2 linked regions of the Nothobranchius furzeri genome follow. The protein of the gene in region 2 purifies or fractionates together with the protein of the main gene of each other region. This does not show direct contact. Links are inferred from orthologs where the notes say so. Each region holds a gene or a part of one and is shown on either strand. Other genes may lie near its edges.

Region 1 (3,379 bases), on a different chromosome or scaffold from region 2:
TCTCATGAGTGTTTCAATAATCCAGATTTCTGTCAAGTTTACAAAAGGTGCTACATGACAGGTGTCACAAGTACCATGACTAATGAATTAAGCAAACACACACACACCATCTATAAATGCACATGGTGACTGCTTTGCTGCAGAGGCCAGCATGCCTGCACAACTCTGCTTTTAAAATGCAGTTTTGAGTTAATATTTTTCGACAAAAATAAAGTGAACACTAAAAACGTAATCATTTTACCTCAAGAAAAAAGAACCACTGCTTAATTATATTGTCTTTACATTGCATAACTGGTTTAAGGGGTTTCTAGGAAATTCAAGTGCAAACATGCCTTGAAGTTAGAACATAGTGTCCTTTCTTTTTAACAAATACACAGAAAAAAGTATTTATGTACAGCAGCTCTTTGGCTCCTTCAGCCCTAGTATTAGGAGTTAACAGGGCTTTTGTGGTTTTAGATATTACAAGACTGAACACACACGTTTATGATTGCATAATGCCATCTGGATGTCTCATCTTTACCACTCTTAGGAGAGAGAATAACCTTTACCAAGAATCCTTAGAAATGATTAAATTTAAAAACTTAAATGTTTTTGAGTACTTACTGTTTTAAAATTCTAAAATAAATCCAGGACCAAAAGAATGTGTGTAAACCTTTTACATTTTTATTGCTTTTTATACAAAGAGAAGGAAGATTAATCAAAGAGCCCAAAGCCCATATCTTCGTCTGACTCTTCTGATTCTTCTTTTTTCTCTTCCTTTTTCTCTTCCGCTGCAAAGCAAATTAAAGTCAAATGTTAATGTTGGAAAAAAGTTAAAGATATTACTACAGGCATAATTACGTACCAGCAGCAGGGGCAGCCCCAGCTCCAGCGGCCCCACCAGCAGCAGCGGCAGGTGCCACTACAGCACCACCTGCTGGTACAGAGGCTAACTTGGAGAGGCCTGTGACCAAAAGAAAAACTCATGAAACTGCAGGACACTGAACTTAGCATTTTCAGTTTTAAGAGCCACTAACCTGAATTCATGACGTCATTGATGTCCTTTCCATTCAGCTCACTGATGACCTGTTGAGAAAATAACATTTAACCACATGGAAAATACATAGTTTCAACAGTAAACCACCAACAACATACTTTATTCAAGCGTTCGTCATCGGCCTCAATCCCCACGCTACCTAGGATGTTCTTGATGTCCTTTGCAGAGGGGCTGGTGTTTCCACCCAGTGAAGCGAGGAGGTAAGCGGCCACGTAACGCATTCTGACACAAAAAATAATCAGGTTTATTTCAAAGAAAATGAATGAAAGCAACATTAGAACTTCCTAAATTCCCTAAATTGTATTTATTTTGTAGTTAAGAATCAACCACTATCAGAGATTTAAATTTTTTTTTATATTAACTGGCCTAGTTTCCAATAACAAACCTACTCAAATTGATTTCATCATAATCCTGTCATTTCATAATGCTTTGTTAAAATGATTGCAGACATTAACCTACATTTGCTGCAAATTCTTCCCAGCCCTTAATAGTAAAATGTTTCACTGCCTCCCCTATTTGCGTTGTTTAACCCCTGAATGATATGATATAAAATATAGTTTAGTCTGATTAATGTAGAAAGTGACCAACTAAATCAATTGCTAGCTGCTAACAGGCCCTCTAAAACTGGTGCTAGCAAATGACAATATTTTCGAATTCACTTTAGATTCAGTTTAAATTATTACAATACAACAGTCAGTTTCTCTGTTGAAGCAAATAAGCACAGAGCGACGGGACTTCATACTTAAGGCACCGAGTGGTTAGCATTTAGCAAGCAGATGCTAGCAAACATCAGCTTTAGTTTAGTGTAAAATGGTACACGACTTTCATAAATGCATACATGAAGACGTTTGACTTAAAGGGCTGCTTGAAAACTGTTGCCAATACATTGCAGCAAAGAGCACATTTTGGTTCTGAGCGTGTATCTACGTTATTAGTGTTTAATGGCTAAACGAAGCAGCATGGCGACCGACAGTTTTACCATTTCTGGCTACGCTGCAACAAACGAGGAAACATTGGAAACACATTTAACTGAACAACTGAGGGAGATAAACGTCTAAAACGCGATGTGACTGAAAAGAACAAACAATATAATTCATAACTCTCAATTTTGGACTTACTTTTAAGTCTAAATAGACACGAAACGTCGGTCACGCTACGAAATCCGGAAGAGAAGGAGAGGCGGAACCGGAAGTTGAAAGAAGTTCAGTGCGTTAATTTAATTGGTTGTAATAAAACAATGGTGTCCAATCATGTTCCTCCAAGGCCAATCTCAGGTTGTGTGGAGATATGATTTCTTTATTCTTTATTTAACCAGGAAGACCCCATTGAGGTTAAAAGCCTAATTTTCAAGGAAGTCCTGGCCAACAGGCAGCAAAAGTTACAGTTACAAATTTTTCAGCGACACATATATGTTATGTACAAAATTACAGAAGGCAGTTACAACACAGGGGATCCATCTCAAGGGCTCTCAGTCTGGTTTAAAATGTGTTCAACGAAGTAAACTCCGTTAATTTCCAGTTTTCCTGCAGCCTGTGCCATGCAGAAGGAGAAGAGTGAACGAAAGCCTTTACACAGTTCGGCGAGAAAACAAAACCCAGAGTAACGATTGATTGCACGCAGACTGTGAAAAGTTACACTTCTCCATGAGATTAAGTTACAGACTTAATTCGGAAGTAAGCTAAGCATGGCCTTATAAATGAAAGTATACCAATGTCCCAACCTCCTGGTGGACAAAGAAGGCCATCCCACTCGGGATGCTAATATGACCCACAATGATGGGTTGTGGTCTAAGTTAGTAATAAACCTCAGCGAGGCATGATAAACCACATCAATCTTACAAAAACACTGTGCTGAGGCATTCATATACAAAAGGTCTTCACTATCCAGATTAGACAGAAATATTGCAGTAACTAGTTTTTTTTGTTAGTTTTTTTTTTTGCCAAAACAAAAAAACTATATATCTATATATCTATAACTAAATATATAATCTTATTATTTTTTATTATATATATATTTAACACTGTTTTGAAAAAGAAACCCAGTGTGAGTTTGAGTTTCTTCACAAGATTGTCTATATGGAGCTTGAAGAGGGAGTGATCGTGCCAGACTCCATGTATATGTGTGGACCACCTCTATGATATTTCCCTAAAGAGTGGTCACTGAGGGCATACTTAGGTATTTTTAGAGTTTTAAAACAACATTAGCTTAGTCTTGTCAGCACTGAGGACCAATTTTAACTGCAGAAGGGTTTGTTGGACCACATTAAAAGCTTTCTGTAGTAATTCAAGTGGGGGATGTTCCAAAACAGTAAATGATTGTGTCATCAGCGCAAAAGTGCATATT
Region 2 (3,648 bases):
CAGAGGTTAGGAAACAAATCATTTATAATCCAATCGGTCATGCGAGCATGCAGATCAGCTACCTGTGTGTGAGCGGTACTTGAAGGCATGTCAACACCTCATCCAGGTTATCGCTCTACAACTGGGCTATTAAATTCTGGGCCTAGAGGGCCGGTATCCAGCACCTTTTGGTTTTAACCCTGCTGCAACACAGCTGACCCCAGCAGCAGGTGATTCAACCACTGGATTTAGTGTTGGATTAGAGGAGGGGTGTCCAATCCTGGTCCTGGAGGGCCGGTATCCAGCAGGTTTTGTGGTTTTTCTGCTCCAACAGGCTTGATTCAGTGGTTGAAACACCTGTGCAGCAGCTCATCAGGCTCTGCAGAAGCCTATTAATTAGCTGCTGATTAAAATCAGGTGTGTTGAAACAGTTCAAACTAAAACATGCAGGATACCGGCCCTCCAGGACCAGGATTGGACACCCCTGGTAATGGCCCTGCTCTACACTAAAGCAGGCTGCGGTTGGTTCCTCCAGCCTTGTCTCCAGTACGATTATGCTTACGGCACCACCACATCCACATCACAGGGCGCCACACCCAACGTGACGTTAAATGAAGTCGCCAGGCCACTGGGTTGATGAACAGCTTTTATTGTAAACACAGTCTCAGGCTATGCTGCCGGCATTGGAAGCGATTCTGGGCCACAGGTCTGCACACTCCTTGGCCACTGGGCCTGTGATGGCTGAACCTGCAGGTAGAGACGAGACGTTACTGCGGTCCAAATGAAGCAGCAGGCTGAAAAGGCAGAAGGCTAGAAATGGGTTTGAGTTTGGTGGAGCAACATTTGTCTCATCCCTGATTGAGATCAGTCAGTCACAGAAGGTCTCTGCTGTCTCACCCACAGTGATGAAGTCATTCTGCCCTTCCTCGACAACTCACCCAGCCACTGAGCAGACCAAGCAAGTGCTTTTGGAAGGGGGCGCTTCACGCCACCAGCACTCTTAACCACACACAGATTTACCGTGGTGCGAAGACACTGACAGTCTACATCTCACAGAAACAGCAGCTAATGCCTTGAAACTAAAAACACACCTTTCATTTCTCCTTTGTTGTTCACAATAACACCTGCGTTGTCTTCAAAGTAGAGGAACACTCCATCTTTTCGCCGATACGACTTCCGCTGCCGTATCACCACCGCAGGATGCACTGGGAGAGGAGCAGTGGTGTTATCACAGGTGACTGCGAGGTGGAAACATGCAGCTGTGCCCCAAAAGCAGACTAATCGCTTCTCTGTAGTCGCACTTACGGACAACTGGCACATAAACATTTCTTTGAACGAAACTCAACTTGATCCAGCCGTGTCCATTCCCAAGAGAAGTACCCCCCTTACATGCACCACACTCGTTTTGTGTGTAACGGGGGACAGATCAAACCCAATGCAGCTGTTACCACTCACCCTTCTTCCTGAGCTCTGGTTTGCCTTTTTTGACTGTGGCCATGACCATGTCCCCCACTCCTGCAGCGGGGAGACGGTTCAGACGACCCTTGATGCCCTTCACAGAGATTATGTACAGGTTCTTAGCACCTGTGAGTCAGAAGGAAAACAAGCATGAAAACAGGATTACTGGAACTAAATGCCCAGACCCTCCCGCTCAACTACACAGTTCATTAAATAGCTCAAGTAATTTATAACATATTTGCCCGTTTTCACTTTCACACTTGAATAAAATAAGTGTTAGTGTAATTTTGAGAATACAAGTAGGTGTGTGTGTGGGACTGAAGGCCCCTTCCTCCAGTCCAGGCTGGATGTTAGGTGACCCAACAGGCATGAGGTGCGCCTTGAATCCAGCTTTTATACAGGGCAGGTAAGACGTACCTGTGTTATCTGCACAGTTGATGACTGCTCCCACTGGGAGACCCAGTGAGATGCGAAACTTCGCTCCAGACGAACCACCACGTCCTGCAACGAGAGGACCCTAATCAGTCCAAGGCTCCACCGGTGCTTGAAACTCCACACAGCCTCGGCTGTAGCCCAGCTTTAGCTAGCACTTCCTCTTCCGTCCACCTCGAGTTCACACCGGCTAGCTATTAGCTAGTCTACGGTAGTTAACTAGCTCCTGTTTTCTCTACTTGTCGATAAACAGCCGCGTAGTTTGACACAAACGTCTATTTCCAACCTGCAGCTCTAATGCAGTCCAGCTCGCCTTCACGGCCCTGAAGCAAACATGGCTCCGAGAACTGAAATGCAACAATGCTATCATCTCCGGATCATTAAAGCGTGAGAAAAACTCCGAACGAGCCACAGAAACGTGTGGTTTATTATCAATCTGTCCTAAACGAGCATCATTAGGAACTCTGGGTAAAACTAAAACAGCAGATGAAGGTGGATTTCATATGATGATAAACCTACCTCTCTTAGACATGGCTGCGGCAGGGAAAGAGAAAGGCAAAAAACGGAAGTAGACCTTATAAAGGTGAAGGAAACTACTTCCGGGTCACGTAGAGGAGCAGTGCGTATGAGCCTGGGGGGCGTGACTTTGTTTTTAAAACGTATTTAGTTTAAAAGTAGAGAATACTTTTATTATCTTTCTCAGATCCATTACTTCACAATTAAACACAATAAAAATTACAATATAATAAACGTTTAGAGACTCCCACGTTAGGATATAGTGTCATAAAACAACAACAACAATAAAATAATAATAATAATAATAATAATAATAATAATAATAATAATAATAATAATAATAATAAATGAAAAATGACCTGCACTTATATAGCACCTCTCAGAGTAAGGACTCCAAAGCGCTTTACACTACAGTGTATCACTCATCCATTCACACACACATTCATACACTGGTGGAGATGAGAGGCATTAATAATAACGACAACAATTTTAAAATTTCCTTAGGGGTAAAACTAAGGAAAATACCCATCCAGACATTTTAACGTTTAACAGACTATTTGAAGAAACAATCTTCAATACACATATTAAAGGAAGTCGTAAATCAAACGTTTTATCATTTTTCAGAGCGTCGTTGCTGGATTCTCAACAAACATTTGCAGTGGTCTATTTTCCACTAGATGTCAGTGTTTCATTACAGTTTTCTTCAGCCTGCCCCTGCTGAGAGCGATAGAGGAAGAAAAGAAACCAAGCAGGATGGTTGGGTTGTCCTGGAAATGGACCAGCAGCCCCACTGAGCTCCAGCAGTAAACGTGATAACTGGTGTTTGGAGGGAGGACGGCACAGGACGAATATGACAACCCAGACCCGAGGCCTGGGTTTAGTTTATTAGAGGCTGCAGTAGAGACACCTAAAATATGCAACACATACCTTTTCCAATCAAAGCAGGAAATTATAGTTTTGATGAATTAGAGACACGTGGAGTGACTGAATGAAAGTACCAGGGTTGTTTTCATCATCTGTTAGCTGAGGGAAGACATTATCCCCTGATAGCCAGCCACAATAAACCTATTATAACTCCTGGTAACACAATATCATTTAATGATCAGAGTGAATGACTAAAGCAATAGTTTGGTGATGAAAAATCTGATCATTAAGTAATGTGGTGTGTCAACTGAAGCAGTGATTATTAGCTGTAGCGGTGAGACAGCTGGGGCGGTGTTCCCAGTCTGCCTGAAAACAGAACAGAAGTCCAAAAACCACGTG

What was found. Proteins that work in one complex are often made in the same cells at the same time.
Region 1: the proteins of rpl23 (region 2) and rplp2 fractionate together in Homo sapiens (co-fractionation; 4 studies listed by BioGRID). This does not show direct contact. The link is inferred for Nothobranchius furzeri from reciprocal best matches to the Homo sapiens genes RPL23 and RPLP2.

What each region holds. Positions count from the first base shown.
Region 1 is NC_091743.1:70,041,200-70,044,578, forward strand, and holds rplp2 (60S acidic ribosomal protein P2), read right to left. Parts: upstream 2,273-3,379; 5' UTR 2,155-2,272; intron 1,259-2,154; 5' UTR 1,258-1,258; coding exon 1,135-1,257; intron 1,066-1,134; coding exon 1,017-1,065; intron 944-1,016; coding exon 845-943; intron 771-844; coding exon 694-770; 3' UTR 642-693; downstream 1-641. UniProt on the Homo sapiens protein: Plays an important role in the elongation step of protein synthesis.
Region 2 is NC_091758.1:12,992,882-12,996,529, reverse strand, and holds rpl23 (large ribosomal subunit protein uL14), read right to left. Parts: upstream 2,506-3,648; 5' UTR 2,402-2,505; coding exon 2,389-2,401; intron 1,939-2,388; coding exon 1,855-1,938; intron 1,564-1,854; coding exon 1,435-1,563; intron 1,185-1,434; coding exon 1,071-1,184; intron 727-1,070; coding exon 644-726; 3' UTR 613-643; downstream 1-612.